Schizosaccharomyces pombe: one gene and its partners. The protein of the gene in region 3 purifies or fractionates together with the protein of the main gene of each other region. This does not show direct contact. Each region holds a gene or a part of one and is shown on either strand. Other genes may lie near its edges.

The links. Proteins that work in one complex are often made in the same cells at the same time.
Region 1: the proteins of pop1 (region 3) and cul1 purify together in Schizosaccharomyces pombe (affinity purification with western blotting; 3 studies listed by BioGRID, with this or other methods). This does not show direct contact.
Region 2: the proteins of pop1 (region 3) and rbx1 purify together in Schizosaccharomyces pombe (affinity purification with western blotting; one study listed by BioGRID). This does not show direct contact.

Annotation. Positions count from the first base shown.
Region 1 is NC_003424.3:3,609,825-3,616,236, forward strand, and holds cul1 (cullin 1), read left to right. Parts: upstream 1-2,232; 5' UTR 2,233-2,299; coding exon 2,300-2,367; intron 2,368-2,412; coding exon 2,413-2,499; intron 2,500-2,597; coding exon 2,598-2,662; intron 2,663-2,773; coding exon 2,774-2,850; exon of another isoform or gene 2,851-3,052; coding exon 3,053-5,059; downstream 5,060-6,412. Other genes in the region: protein slt1, read left to right, coding at 5,802-6,412. UniProt on the Schizosaccharomyces pombe protein: Core component of multiple cullin-RING-based SCF (SKP1-CUL1-F-box protein) E3 ubiquitin-protein ligase complexes, which mediate the ubiquitination of target proteins.
Region 2 is NC_003424.3:1,573,346-1,577,660, reverse strand, and holds rbx1 (SCF complex, Cul4-RING and CLRC ubiquitin ligase ligase E3 subunit Rbx1), read right to left. Parts: upstream 2,317-4,315; 5' UTR 2,252-2,316; coding exon 2,177-2,251; exon of another isoform or gene 1,989-2,176; coding exon 1,839-1,988; exon of another isoform or gene 1,776-1,838; coding exon 1,685-1,775; exon of another isoform or gene 1,661-1,684; intron 1,641-1,660; coding exon 1,633-1,640; 3' UTR 1,354-1,632; downstream 1-1,353. Other genes in the region: mediator complex cyclin-dependent protein kinase subunit Srb10, read right to left, coding at 1-807. UniProt on the Schizosaccharomyces pombe protein: Component of E3 ubiquitin ligase SCF complexes, which mediate the ubiquitination and subsequent proteasomal degradation of target proteins.
Region 3 is NC_003423.3:3,466,667-3,472,767, forward strand, and holds pop1 (cullin 1 adaptor protein Pop1), read left to right. Parts: upstream 1-2,461; 5' UTR 2,462-2,676; coding exon 2,677-5,004; 3' UTR 5,005-5,219; downstream 5,220-6,101. Other genes in the region: beta-glucosidase Psu2, read right to left, coding at 1-863; synaptonemal complex-associated protein hop1, read left to right, coding at 5,653-5,747, 5,796-5,943, 5,988-6,101.

The DNA of each region.
Region 1 (6,412 bases), on a different chromosome or scaffold from region 3:
TTAGACACGTAACCACAAAAAGTCTTCGCTGAGTTGTGACAGCAAATAGTCTTCAAAATACTTCCAGCAAGTAAAAAAAAAAAAAAAACGTTAAACAAAAAACAAAAAGAATCTAAAGGAAAAAGATGATGAGCCTCAATCTCGAGAACGAAAGCTAATTCACTTGAAAATTTTCCTTTTTCTTGTAAAGTGCTCGAAAGCACTTTTCGCGTAAACGCACAAAGTATTTAAAAAATAAATACAAAAGAATGAATACTTGTAGCGATTTTGGAACGCTGGTGTACCTCACCAAGGTGGAAATACGGAAAGGTAGTATATAGGACTAGGCAAACTCCAAATGGTTGTTTGCGGACAATAGCGAGGCAAAGTCGGCGGAAGTTTAAAAAGACTTGAATGAAAGAACAACTAGGTATTCTTTTTACAGATTAATAAAAGGAACAGGATTTTAAAATGGATAGTTAACCTTCCAAGTGTTGAAAAAAAAATTAAAAACAAAAGCCAAATTAATGACTTAAAAGTCCAAGTAACTTTTTTGAAATAAAGTTTGGTCAGTTCATAAAACAAGTATTTTCTTTTTTTTTTTTTTTTTTTGAGAAAAAAGAGGATTTGTTTACAGAAAAAAACAGGAAAGCAGAAAGACAGCGGTTTGAATAGCACAAGCTGAACTAGCTTATTTATAACGAAATTTTAAGTAAATACTGGAGACAAAGGTTAGTTATCCTCCCCCAATAAGATAACTGAGAAAAAGTCGATTAAGATAAAATTATGGAGAGAGAAATCAAAAGAAAGAAGAAAGGCCTAAAATAATAAGAAGATTGTATAATGACTATGGATTACTACTTTAAAATATATCTCTTAATATCACAGTATATAAACACTCTTGACTATTAGTGTGGAAATTGATGATGGATTGCAAAGAAAAGATGAGCGGATAGTTTCTAGAAAAAATTTTGGAATTCAAAAGACGAAGCAGTGATGTAAATAGCTTTTTTGCAGAGTTTCTTATGTTGAAATTGAATAATTACATAGAAACTTGAAGGTTCAAGGTTCATAAAAACGGAGAAAATGGGATATAATAGCAAATAAAAGAGAGAAACAGATATTATGTTTGTTTTTTAGAAAGAATCTCAACAAATTACAGATATTTTGATTGTATTGGAATACTAAACAAAAAAATATGTAAGTAAATAGTCAAGTGAGCAAAGTAGAACAATGCTGGCCACGCGTTAAAGGGGGAAAGGTGGTTAGCGAAGAATGGAATGTTTTCAACTCATTATTGCCATTCTACGAATATAAAAACACCTAAATTGTAAAAAAAAATAAAAAAAATAAAGCAAGCAAGTTTAAGTGATAAAGGAGGAAGCTAATTAGTTATGAAATTGAGAATAATTTTTGGTCTTATTCAGAATTAATAATAATTCGTCTGTTCCTAAGTGAATATAGAAAGCAGACTCCAAACGTGCGTATCCAAGCGCATTCTATTACTTTTATTTTAGTAGGTAAATGATAAAAAGTTCAATTTGAGGCCGCTTTTGATGCATCAACATTTTGCGACAATTTTACTTAGGAATTGGCTACCGTTAACGGCACTCAGAATTGTTTGAGGATGAGGCTCTGATGGTAAACAATAGATGGCGGTGCTCAAAAGATGGTATGAAGAGGTAATTTGTAGCGCGTTTGAGAAAGAGAAGGAAAAGTATTTCTGTTTTACAACATCTATGAAAGAGCATCCTGTTATGTTGGCCACATTGAAAATGTCAACCTATTTGAGGTCCAAATTAAACCCTTTTCAACATTTGTAAATATTTCATGGGTTTGAGATTTTCATTTAGTACAATATTACTATACACTTGTCAGAGATATCTTTTACACCATATGTGTATTTGCATCGAGCACTCAATATCCAGCGGATCGCATACATCATTCTTTTGGCAGAACAATAACTCAAATTTAAAGGATTTCTTTGGCATATTCATGTATATGTTGATAAATATTGGCTTTATGTCTTTGTTTTCATAATAATAAATGCGTTAATGAAGAATTTTTTAATATAATAATTATTTACTTAAAAAAAAATTAGATATTAAATATAATCTTATAAAGCACTTTTATAATGAGCTTTTGCTACGTACACCTGGCTACCTCTTGTACCTTCGTTCACTTCGTCGTTACCTGTAGGTTCTTGAAAGGATCAGTGCTACTATTTACTACGTTTACTCTATCTGCCATCTAAGAAAGAGCAATTGTGTGCTGAATAAAATATATTTTACTTGTTATACATTTATAACCATTTTGGTTAATGACTACTTTGAATACCAACGATAAAGACCTCCCGATTGTTAAAAAATATGATTCATTGAATGGAACGTATGTTACATTGTAACTGATTGACGATTGCTGATCTATATGCAGTTGGGACTTTTTAAAAACAGGTGTGTCCCAAATATTTGAAAGGCTAGATGAAGGAATGACTATCACTAAGTATATGGAGCTTTATACGTAAGTTAGTCCAATATTTTGAGATCTGAATACTAGTATATTAGTTATCAGATATTTCATGGCACCTATATTTATATACTTACATACTTTATTTTTAGAGCAATCCATAACTACTGTGCTGATGCGTCCAAAACTATAACGGTGGACAATTTCAACGATCAAAGTACGTAAAAAATAGATAAAAATTTATATTTTGACTCAGAATTTGTCAAAAAGAAGAACTACATATATTTTCTTATGATTATTTTCACTGGATTCTAACTGTATGTGCTAGCTGCAAACGTTTTAGGCGAAGCCCTTTACAATAATTTGGTTCTATATCTGGAAGAGTATTTGGCCCGTCTGCGAAAGGTGAGTTTAAATATCGGTTTTTTATTTATAATTCTACGACAAAGATTTCATTGCACCTCGAGTGTTCAGCAGTTTTCTTTAATTTCTAAACATTTTCTCTGGACATTTTAAAGAGTGCTAGCATAAGCATCTGGTCTTTTATTATGATTAAGGAATAAATTGCATTATGTGGTAATTTTTCTCGTGCTAATTGGCGCTTTAGGAATGCATTTCGCAAACGAATCATGAAGAGCAACTCGCTGCGTATGCCAAGTATTGGACGCGATTTACAACATCTGCCCGTTTTATCAACCATCTTTTTGGATATTTAAATAGATATTGGGTTAAACTGAAGAACAGATTTACTGAGACACTCGTGTACGACATTTACACACTTTGTCTTGTGTCATGGCATCATCACGTTTTTTCCCACATTCGCGATAGCCTACTTCAAAATTTGTTATACATGTTCACCAAAAAAAGATTATATGAACCTACTGATATGAAATATGTGGAAGTTTGTGTGGATTCTATCACTTCATTGAGCTTTGATAAAACCGATATGACAAAGCCTAACTTGAGCTCATACAAAACTTTTTTCGAAACAAACTTTATTGAAAATACAAAAAACTTTTATGCAAAGGAGTCTTCCGAATACTTGGCTTCCCATTCTATTACGGATTACTTAAAAAAGGCAGAAATAAGACTAGCAGAGGAGGAAGAGCTTGTGAGATTATATTTGCATGAATCCACATTGAAGCCGCTTTTAGAAGCGACTGAAGATGTACTAATTGCACAACATGAAGAAGTTTTGCACAACGACTTTGCACGCATGCTCGACCAAAACTGCAGTGAGGATATCATTCGCATGTACCGATTGATGTCTCGAACACCTAATGGGTTGCAGCCTTTACGCCAGACATTTGAGGAGTTTGTCAAGAGATCAGGCTTTGCTGCGGTTGCCAAAATTGTTCCCCAGGTCGGTGGAGAAGCCGATGTGGATCCTAAAGAGTATATGGAAATGTTACTTTCCACGTATAAAGCTTCCAAAGAACTTGTTAACACCGCATTTCATGGGGATACTGATTTTACAAAGTCATTGGATACAGCCTTTAGAGAACTTGTCAATCGAAATGTTGTTTGCCAGCGCTCTTCCTCTCGCTCCCCAGAGTTGCTTGCTAAATACGCCGACAGTATTTTGCGAAAAAGCAACAAGAATGTTGACATTGATGATGTTGAAGACTGTTTATCGTCGATTATCATTATTTTTCGTTATGTCGAAGACAAGGATGTTTTTCAAAACTTTTATACTAAGCTTTTAGCCAAGCGACTTGTGAATGGTACCTCTAATTCCCAGGATGCTGAATCTAGCATGCTATCTAAGTTAAAGGAAGTCTGCGGTTTTGAATATACTAGTAAGCTACAGCGTATGTTTCAAGACATCTCCTTGTCTCAAGAGATTACCGAAGCGTTTTGGCAACTCCCTCAGTCACGTGCTGGAAATATAGATTTCTCTGCTCTTGTACTTGGTACATCGTTTTGGCCTCTATCTCCCAACAATGTGAACTTTCATCTGCCAGAGGAATTAGTTCCTTTGTATGAAGGATTCCAAAACTATTACTATAGCTGCCATAACGGAAGGAAGTTAAGCTGGTTGTTCCATCTCTCTAAAGGAGAAATAAAGGCACGCATTAACCCTCAAACTAATGTCACTTATGTGTTTCAAGTTTCTACATATCAAATGGGTGTTTTGCTTTTGTACAACCATCGCGATTCTTATACATATGAGGAGCTGGCAAAAATAACTGGGTTAAGTACAGATTTCTTGACAGGGATTCTGAACATATTCCTAAAAGCAAAGGTGCTTCTCCTTGGCGACAATGACAAGCTTGGTGATCCTAATAGCACATATAAGATCAATGAAAATTTTAGGATGAAAAAGATACGGGTACAGTTAAATCTCCCAATTAGATCTGAGCAAAAGCAGGAATCTCTGGAGACTCATAAAACTATAGAAGAAGATCGAAAGTTACTGCTTCAATCCGCTATCGTCCGTATCATGAAGGCTCGCCGAACATTGAAACATGTAGTGTTAGTGAAAGAGACTATTGATCAAATTAAAAGCAGATTTACTCCTAAAGTGTCTGATATTAAGCAATGTATAGATATGTTAATCGAAAAAGAGTACCTGGAACGCCAAGGCCGCGATGAATACATTTACCTTGCTTGAGAGAAACATCTCCGCGAAATGCTCCAAAAAAAATGATATACTTTTCGAGTGTTATATATGTAATTAATCACGCAATACGAATTTTCTTTTTTCTTTTGTTTACATTCTTGTCTGCTAGTGATCTTTAATCCATTGAAACTAAGCTTTTAATAACGTAGGAAAGTCACCACTCCATTGAAGAAATGTGTAGCTTAGCTACATGCAAGCTATGCAACTTTTTTTTACTACTAGTTACTGGATAGCAACAACAAACTTCTATTATCCCATCATTTTACGTGGATAAGTCGTACAATGAAAAAGAAAAGAAAACAGTTATCGACCACATACATGCACCATTTCACGAAGTACAGATGCTTGAAATTGTGAAAGGATGTCAAAGATATGTTTTATATAATACATTTATTGTCAATTGTCGTCTTCGTCTTCCTCTGCAAATCGCTTGATTCTGTTAAAAAAGACATATATTGATTATTCAGCACGAAGAACGAAATGGTGCTTACAAATTAAAAAAAATTAATTGATCAGACTAATTAAGGCAATTTTAACGTTTTTATTGATTTACTACTTCCAGGTGTTGCTGGAGTGTTCATGGATGAAATGGATGATTCCGGTACATTCCGGTGCCAACACCATAGTATGACATAAATGAGTAAACATCGCGGTTCGCTCATTCTTCTTCAACACACCATCTTCCTTGACATATCGTTCTGAAAAAAAATACTAGGAAGAGAATCGTAGCATAATGGCGACTTTATTTCATCTTATAGATGTACATGGTAATGAATATCAAAATGTGCAAGACCACAGCCTTCAAATGGCCTTAGAAGAGCTGAATCAACAAATCGAAGTGATTCAACGCCAAGAAGAACAATTGGCTTTGCGAAAGAAGGCAATTGAGGATGCAAGGCAAGAAGTGCTCCAGCAAATTCAACATCGAAAATTCCGTCAATACTTGCATGAACGGGAACAAGAGGCTCGTTTGCAAGAGTATTATTTGGAGCAACTGCAAGAGCGTAGAGCTTTTGAAAATGTTGTACGGACTATAATCAGAAAGCGATTTGAGGATGAGGAGCGTGAAAGAGCTCATCGCAGGGAAAAGGCGGCTCGAAAGTTGCTACGCAGAATACTTGTCTCCGATTCACCCAATATGCAGCTTGTAGTGCCAAATAATTTCCAGCAAATGTTTATTCATCATCCAGTCGTAGACACAATATATTCTCCTGAAGAGTCTTCGGAATCCCAAGCTGAAGTCGCTGACCAACAAACTGGCCCATACTCTACATCAGAGTACGCAGGTGCTCAACAATCTCAACCATTTCGCATATTTATTCAAAACGACAATGCACCTGAACA
Region 2 (4,315 bases), on a different chromosome or scaffold from region 3:
AAATGATGATAATTGATAGTACTCTGGATAATTTTTGAGACCTGGCCAGCGTTCTTCTGTTGGTGTGCCTAGTAACTCCATTATGCGTAGCATTTGAGTACTCTGAAAAGGAACGACTTTTTTATCTTCCATTTTTATTTCATCTCCTTTGAAAAGAGGAGAAAGAGCAAGCATTTCTCCATAAATACAACCAATTGCCCAAACATCTATTGCTGGGGTATAATCGTGAGCTCCCAAAAGTAGCTCTGGCGCACGATACCAAATAGTAACTACTACACGATCGCTGGAATAAAATGGTAATATGGGATCCCGAATGAGCCTTCCCAGCCCTAGGTCCCCAATTTTTACCTTGCCTGTAGCTGTAATCATTATGTTTGCTGGTTTCAAATCTCGATGCATAATCCAGTTTTCATGTAGGTATGCTACACCATTAATGATCTGCCATAGAATACTTTTTAAAATTGATGGTGGAATTTGTCTTGTTCTAGATCGGCTATGGAAATGAATAATTTGCAACAGATCGTGTTCGGCGTATTCAAAAACCATGCTAATTGTGCCATCTTTGAGTAAAACTTGAACCAAGCTAACTATATTTTCATGCTGAATTTCTCTACACAGCATCATTTCACGAATAGCACTTTGAGAAACGCCGGTTTGTTGAGCATTCGAGCTTACTTGCTTTGACTCAGCTTTGAACTTTTTAATTGCAAACAGTCGTTTATCATTCGAATTAGATGAAACCGCTTTATAAACCTTTCCATAAGTTCCAGATGAGATAAACCCAATAATTTTATAACCGTCTTTCATGCTGAAATGACCCTACCCTATCAAACCTTTAAAGAGATGGATATATACACATTCAATCACATAGGGATGCTTTTTACAGTCTTTATATAAAAAGTATCCGACTTTTTAGTATCACTTAAAAAGTCAGATGAATGTAGGTCTCTCTATAGTGGGAAGTGACGAAGGCGACAGAAACATTAGTATTAGGCGAATAAAGAGTCAAAGTACCACGAATCTTTTTATGCCTACCCACTATTAACGAAAACACCAAGTCTGATAAACTGAAGGTTTTAAACATCAGATGGTAATTTTCATAAAGCTGTTTGTTCTTATTTAAAAGTTAACTGAATTTGTGAATTGATTGGCAAGTATAGAAAATCCGTGCACTACTGAGCTTTTGTATCTCACCACTGACATTCTTCTCGAAAGCAATGATTCGCATTCTGTCATGCGATATGCAGCATAATGTCTGTATGCCTATTCAATTTTAACAATAGCACTTTAGAAGTATGCCATTTCTTTTGATGATTTAAGTAATGTTCTAATTCTTCAAGTGTATACAAAGTAGTGATATAATGTCTTAATTTATATGATGTGTAGTTAAAAACTGTCTGTAGGAAATTTTATTTGACAAGCAATAAAATAAATTGATATATTCGTCCACTATCTGAGTAATTGGAGTAAATAAATATAAATAACAATTCAAAGTCACATGGAAACTTAAACTAGCCACAAGTAGTCATGATTTTAGGAAATTTTAATTGATTCATGTCATTTCATTAATAAAACGCTCTGCTCCATTGAAATATTTTTACCAACAAAAAAGTAAGTACTTAATAAATGTTATTAATGACCTGAGATAAAGTTAGTAAAGTAGGCTCGTCTTAATATACCCTACCATAACGTTGGAACTCCCATTCACGATTGTCCAAAGGACAAACATTCCTAGTGTTTAACCATCTTGAGATGCAGTGAAAGTGAAATGCATGCTTTTGTATTTGTTAAAAACAGTCCTGAGCTAAGAATACGAAAGAAATCGAATTAAAACTTACATTACAAGTTCCCCATGCCACTGTGCACTCTTGAGCAGCAGCAGAATCGGTGTTAGCTTGACACTCAATACATAAGTCCATAATATGATTTCTGCAGATAGCACAGTTATCTACAACAATGTCCCATTGCCATAATGCTACAGCATTCCACTAAATTGAAGGTAAGCAATATGAATCAGAAGAACTCATAAAAAAAGCAAAGAGAGTAAACTAGTACTTAAGTGTATGCTTATTTTAAAATAGCAAATATATCTTTGGGTATTAATTTTCACAGTTTACTTTGCTTTATGGCAAATTTGATACACATGAAGAACATGATCATAAAAATAATGACGAACCTTTTTAATTTCAAATCGAGGAGGTTTTTGTTCAATTTCCACCTCCTTCTTGTCTATTTGCATTTCATCTTCCATTGTGATGAGTAAAATAGAGCAAAGCCGCTACTTCGTTTTAAGATGAGATGTTTAAGCGGTGTGATAAAGGGGGTTGAAAATTGCAGCTTCGCTAAGCAATACTCAAACATAAGATAATTTTTGGAGTAATGTAATAAATTTTGCTAAAACACAAGTATTTAATATAATAAATAATGGATCATGGATCTTTCAATCGCAAAATGCGTACTCAAAAAATGAAGGATGATTATTCATCTGCTGTTTCATGAGTGTTTAGCACTATATCTATTTAGCTACATTAAATTACTCAGTTTGTTTAAATGTGTAAACTTTTAATTCTATGTTACATGATGACAATACAAGTTTCTTAGATATTATTTGTATTATGTGTGCTCGTTAGACATCTATTGAATAAGTTTTGTATATAATATCGAAGTACTGAAGACGGTTTCCTACAAACGTTTCAACCAAAATTAGTAAATAGCCCTATTTATCTATAATATTGTACCTTCTCTAGCATATCAAATTGAACACATTCAGCGAATTTTTCTGAAGTAATAGAGCTATTTTTTATTATTGTATTTCATCCAAATATAAATACCTTGGAAGTGAAATATACAAGGGAAGTTAATTCCAAAATTGATTTATTTTTAACTTGTATTGACTCTGAAATTCAAGACTGATTGAAAAAAGCTTTATCCATACAATTAATAAATAAACCATCTCAATATAACAATCGTAGAACAAGATGCAGTTAATGTTTATTTTAGTCCAGCATATTCGTCTTCTGATTACAAAAGTTTTCAAAAGTAGGTTGCACTATTTGTTGTAAATGGTCTTTGCTAGTATGCAAAATTAATAATAGTTTACAAAACTTGAAAAATAATGAACACAAGAATATCATTTCTATAGATCGGGTGTATCTTTACTAGGATTTTAATTTCCGATTATACACAGCTGCTGCCTCCTGTGGCTCATTTGATTACTATATTATTGCGATCGTATAGTCATTTGTACTAAACAAACCTCGTATATGGCTTTTTTTTGTAAAAATTTCTACTAGTTTGACTGCTTATATTTTGCTAAAAATGTCTTTAAAATGATCGGCATCAAATTGTATGGTAATTTCGTTGAGTAAACATTCGTATCTACAGTGATTTCATCGTCAACATCGGATTTCCTTCAATTTTTGAAAGTTATCATCAAAGAGATTTAAATGATAGATGGAATATATTAAGCCGAAAAATCTGGTTTTCAAGTTTACATCTGTTAGCAAATTTTAAAAGGATCTACAGCTAAGTACCGTGCTAAGAGCATGCCAAGGGGTTTTGAGATATCTCGCTAAGTTTAAAACCAAAATACTGTGTAGCTATACAATGCACTAAAACTGGCAAAGTATAATAACGCGGAAGCTACGTTCAAACTATTGGAAATGTAACCTGCCTAACGAGACGCAAGGATATTTGCATTGGGGATTGTCAGCTTGAAGTCGAGCTGAATGAAATGCTAAGCTTAAAATCAAACAAATGAAATTTATAATTAACTATCTTTATGCAAGCCTGTGCATATTAAAAATCGACTAATACAAAAACAAGAAACAAATTGAACTTGTTAGTAAAACGAAAGAGAACGGTAGCGATACTTCGTTGAGGCAAGCATGTTTTGGAATAAGTAGTTTTTTAAAAGTTTGGAGCCTGTCTACAAACATTTTGCAACATGAAGAGATCATAGCCTACGGATCTTGAATTTGAGGAAAAAATGCTAATGTACTTTTACTTATTTACATCGCTCTGTCATTAATTTTGTCTTTTTTTTTTTTGTAAAAATACTCAATTCTCTAAAATATATATCCCCGTCAAATGCCAAAAGAGCAAACAAAATAAAATTGAATAAGTAAATAAATATAGCCTGTATGCAAGGATACGAAATTTTAAATAAATAAAAAAAAGCGCGGCTCAGATAAATTAAAGATATACTTTGTGTATTAAAAATCAATTTCTTTTATAATCGCAGCGATTAACTACTAACTCACGTCACACAAGAGAACAAATAAAAAAAATAAAAAAAAAATAAAAAGGTTCCAAA
Region 3 (6,101 bases):
CAATCACCACTAAGGGACCCACCATCAGATTTAATACGGATATTGTAATCAAGTTTAGCAGATGATAAAGGATTGAAAGACATAGAAAGCCAAGTCTTGCCGTCAGTGTAACCAGACCCGAAGTTCATAGGAGCCCAATTGCCATAATCATCGCCCTCATTACCCCAAACACAGACATCTTCTGCACTTCTGCCAGATTTATTAACATAGTATTGAGCGGATGTCTTCTTTCCTCCCCAATTATAGTATGAATCTTCATCAACATCAGAAAGAGGTTGTTTTGAACCACCATCAATATTGGTAGGGATATTCATGTTCTCAGTTCCGGGGTAATCGGTACGGCAAATTGCGACATTGGAACTCAATGTATTTTTAACATAGGCAGTACCCTTTCCATCTTCACAAAGATTAGAATTATCCTTCTGGGTGAGATATAATTTACCGTTCTTGCAATACAAACCACCAACGGAAACGCCATTGTCAGGCTGCTCAGACGGCCATTGGGTCTTAGACATTCCGGGCTTGCATGCATAGGAACAGTATGTGTTATCTTGGCATGTAGAAGCTGTTCCGTATTTACCATCATTCTTCTGAACACCAGACCATCCTCCAAAACCTAAGTAATCAAGGCGGACAACGCCATTTTGATCATCAGGAAAAGAGGAGCAGTCGTATACGCCGTCAGGAAAACCACCGTCTCTTTTTGAAAAAGCGGTAGTGTTTGTGACATTGACACCAACAGTTATATTGCTAGCATTCAAACCGGCATGATGGTGATGGTGATAGGGAGCATTACCAAGAGGCATAGCTGAAACCAAAGGAATGGCGGAAACCGCAAAACAAAGAAAGTTGTTAAAGAGCATTTTTAGATTTAAAAGATTTGACAGGAATCTAACGATTGACTTTATAAACGATAGGATATGCTAGTAACTTGATACTAGAAAATAAAAGAAAGATGGTAAAGAATATAATGGTCTTTACCTTTTGCGGTTCTGATTGTTTAATTTCAGCTCACGGCTTTTCCCTAAAAATCAGCTCAGCTTTATATACATTTCTTTTTTCAAGCACTTCACCATCTTTTGATTAAGAGCCGTGGCGTTTTGCCACTAATTAACCATGAAAGCCTGTAAGTTTTCAACGTTGATTTTTTCAGAAAATTTCTAACCATAAACCCGAAATAATTAGCGCCAAAACAGTCAACTATTGCGCTCCAATCATTGCTTGCCTTGCTATCGGCTTTGTATTCATTGGCTGATAACTTAATTAAAAATGAACTTAAAAGTCAGTTGATAAATTCAACCAATTAAATGCGTGAATTTGATCTACCCCAGGAAAATTTATACTGTCCCGGGGTCGCGGGGCGTTCAATCATTCATTTCAAAGCAAATTATTATTATTTCCAAGCCAAGTAATTTAATTTTTGTTTATCGCTTTAGCTTTCTTATCATAAGGAAGTTCTTGGTCCCCTGGGCCTTTTGCAATTGAATTGCGCGGTGTACGTAAGCCTAATGACATCCCTGTATACCTAACTTACAAATACGTTGGCTCGACTCAACGTTATATTGATTTTCTCCTAATACTATTAAATATATTTAATAATCTCTTGGGAAAGTAATCTGGTACATACAAATCATCCTAGATATAAGAGGCTCGGTGCATTTCGGCAAATGATGTTCTGCAGCTCATTAAATATGATATAATATTAATTAATTAATATCGTGTTTACACTCGGTTTATCGGTTTGCTATGCTAAGAACTTTTACGGATAACAATTTAATTATTTATCTTGGTAGCGTATTTGACGCTTCTTTGGATACTGAGATTAAGTCAAATTTTGAATGGAGAGAAGTCGAATAATAGCCCAATGCCTGCCGAAATTACCCGATGCATGTCATTGACGAGACAAAAAATTTCTTTCAACGGCCTAAGAAAATGATGTACTAGAAACGCCATCTTAGTCTGACATTTTACATTTTACGCTCATGCTCAAATTTTATTAATAAATTATTATATGTGTCCGTGTCATTTAGAATATGACAGGGGAGGGTAATCTCTTTCCCAACTTTATTGGCGTGTAATGAAATTCGCGAGCTACTATTGTGTCTGCATTCTTTAGCTGCAAAAACGCAACGGAAAAGACAATTTTATAATATGAATACTTCACGTGTTCATTGTTTTTGTCTTTAGAGAATTTATTTGAAAATGCTGAGGAGGTTAATATCTGGTATACAATTAAAACACTATCGCAAATAATGTAAAAAAAAATAATATTGAGGAGCCATAACTAAGTCATATAACTTTTCTTATTGAACTATTGTTATGTCGCGATTTAGTCGTATTTACCATAAACTATAAAAACTTTTCTTAATCAACAGTAAAATTGTTACTTATTCTGGTGTTACTTACACCTCCGCTTGCGTAGAGTGAATTTAAAATTCATTGCCAAGAGTTTATGGTCTTTACGATCTATCTCGCTGAACTTCAAAAAAACCAAGAAAAAGTATTGCTCTAATGCATTAAGACGATAACTATTTGCAAAATAATTTCATATACATGTTTCCCAACGGGCAGTTGTTTTAAGTAAATTCATCAGTATCGATTCTTGAACCAGGTTCTCTAACATCATAAAAGAACTTGACAAATACTTTTCTACTAAGTGTCTGTAAACTACTTGAAATGAATGAGAAGAAAAAAGATAGCCTATCTGTTTTAGATTCCAATGAATTTTTCGGTGAGACAACTATGGTATCACCGAGTATTGATGTTTCCTCTTCTCCCCGGCCAAATGTCGAGAGATTTTCTCCATGTTCCACTAAAAAAGATCTCCTGGAAGGAAATAATATAATGACCAGAATTCCCGAGGAGCTTAGTCGTGTTAGTCTACAATTTGATAGCAAGGGAAGTCAGCAATCGATGATATTTACTAACAATCGATGTTTATCTGATAAAGAAAATTTGGAAAACTTGCAAAATCTTTTATATCTACATTGTGATCTTAACCGGCCCCATTTGAGTTGTGAGCTGCCGTCAGAGCATCGCGAAAAGTGCCTTAAACGCCGTAACTCTAGTCTCAGCTCTAATTTGCATGCTAATAAGCGGTTTCTCTTCAATTCTCAAAGTGATGGGAATAAAAAGAATGAAACTTTTCCTTCTACTAACTACTCGAACGTTTTCTACCCAAACAACTGTGACAGTAAGGAAGTCGCTAGTGAAACAACATTCTCACTTGATGCACCAAATAATTCTGTTAATTACTCTTATTTTTCTCCTAATTTACTCGGCAACGATTCCAAAACCCGTCAATCTTTTCCCCCTCATTCATCTTCATCTTCACATAATTCTTTGCATGAACCTGTCATATATGATTTTTCTTCAGAAAATCCTAGCATTCATCCTTCTAATCATTTGAGCTCTCAAAAAAATGCTGTTTTGAAATTAGCACAATTAATTTCTTCCTTCGAAAAATTACCCGAAAGTGTTCGTCAATACTTACTTTTTCATCTTCTTTCTCGATGTGGAAAACATGCTGTTCAAAATATTCACAAAATTCTGCTTCCTATCTTTCAAAAGAACTTTTTAACTGGATTTCCGGCTGAGATTACAAATTTAGTGCTTACGCATTTAGATGCACCTTCATTGTGTGCAGTTTCGCAAGTTTCGCATCACTGGTATAAGTTGGTATCGTCCAACGAAGAACTTTGGAAAAGTCTCTTTTTAAAAGATGGTTTCTTTTGGGATTCAATTGATAGTAAAATCCGTACGATGTGTTTAGAACAATCTTTGTCAGCCTGTGCGATAATGAAGCGGGTCTATTTTAGACATTTTAATCTTCGTGAAAGATGGCTCCATGCCCCGGAGAAAATTAAGCGATGTTCATTCCCAATTCATGGAGTTCGTCTTATTACCAAACTTCAGTTTGATGATGACAAAATAATTGTTAGCACCTGCAGTCCTAGAATTAATATATATGACACGAAAACAGGTGTCCTGATACGCAGTTTAGAAGAGCATGAAGGTGATGTTTGGACTTTTGAATACGTTGGGGATACTTTGGTTACTGGCTCCACAGACAGGACAGTAAGAGTCTGGGACCTTAGAACCGGTGAATGTAAACAGGTGTTTTATGGACACACGTCAACAATCCGTTGTATCAAAATAGTTCAAGGCAATCAAAGTACTACTGATACTGATGATGTGGAAAAAGAAAACAGACCAGCTTCAAATGATGCTAATTCAATGCCTCCGTATATAATTTCAAGTTCAAGGGATTGTACGATCCGTTTATGGAGTCTTCCATGCCTTGACGATCCACCATTTGTTAATGTAAATGAAAATCCTGATCAGAATAATGACTTTACTTCAGCTACGACCAATCCGTTTTACATCCGAACATTACGTGGTCATACGGACTCGGTACGTGAAGTTGCTTGTCTTGGAGATTTGATTGTCAGTGCCAGTTATGATGGTACTCTTAGAGTATGGAAGGCATCTACTGGCGTTTGTTTACATGTTCTTCGGGGACACGTCGGGAGAGTATACAGTGTCACAATTAATCCTTCTCGTCAACAATGTATCAGCGCTGGTACGGATGCTAAAATTCGTATTTGGAACCTTGAGTCTGGAGAACTTCTACAGACCCTTCATGGTCATTCGAATTTGGTAAGTCAAGTTACATTTAACCAAAATATCTTGGTATCCGCTTCTGCTCCTCCTGATACATCGTTGAGAGTTTGGGATCTAAACACCGGAAGTTGTCGAGATATTTTAAAATGTCCTTTGGGACACATATTTTTTCAACACGACGAGAGCAAAGTTGTCAGTGGAAGCCATAGTACGCTACAGTTATGGGACATTCGTTCCGGAAAGTTAGTAAGAGACCTATTGACTGATTTGGATATAATCTGGCAAGTTGCTTATAATGAAAATGTATGTGTGGCTGCTGTTTTAAGAAATAACCGTTTTTGGATCGAGGTCCTAGAGTTTGGATCTACTAAATCTTCTTGAGCTTTTATAAGTTGAGATACTAGAAATCTATAAAAGATCTCGAAATTTTATTTTACGTTTCCAAACTGAAATAGATTCATGCTATTTATTCTGGAAACTCCTCTATCATATAATATTTGTCTAATTGTTTGTTGACTTTTAAATGTTTACTCATAATTTTCTTTTTTAAATATCTAATAAGAATGCAAAATAATATTTTTTTAAATGATCTATTCTACATTTATAAATTATTTAGTGTTAAATTCGTTTGTTGAGGCCAAAATTTTTTTACCAAAGGGATAAGCGAATTTCTTGAATCCTTAGCTTCAAATAGCGTCCATTCTACCCAAAAGCGTACTATATTTTTATAATTAGCAAACTATAGTAAATAAAAAAACAAACATTTTAGCTTTGTAAATGTAAAAAGACATTTAATTTAACAAAAGGCTTTTACATTACTTCATAAGCTACCAAATGTCTTCATCGTAAAACATGCTTTTCGCATTCCATTTATCTATGTAAGCCATTTTAGTGTAGTTTAAAGTGTTGGAAAACCACAGGTGGGACTGTAATATACGTACACTTAAGACGCGTTCGACGCGTTCACAAAATTACCATATATAGATATCAACTTATCAAATACCCTTTACTTCTAAGTATAAATGACAAATGAATTCATACAAAGAGGAAATTCTGCAAACTAAGTCTGACTTTACTCTTAAAAATTTAATTTTCTTCGCGATATCAACATTATGCTATAAGCGGTACGCAGACATATAATTTTTAAATTAAAATAGCTAACAGAAGGCAAGTGCTCTTTTCAATGAAAACTGCTACAAGAAAGTCAATTTCGAAATTGAACATTTTAAAGGAGCTGACTTTGATTGTCAATTGAAACCTACTGTGGTTTCTTTACAAGCTGGAGTGGACAAAGAAGCAGACAGTTTTTTGGAAATGATGGTGAGTGTTTAAAACTTATCTAAAGAAATAAACTAATATTTTAGAAAACTTATATTTTCTCACTTGTATCAATGAAAGTTCCATTTACTGTTTACCTGATTATTTCGTCACAATGCAAGTCAATATTAGAGGATGACGCGGTTGAAAAGGAGATATTT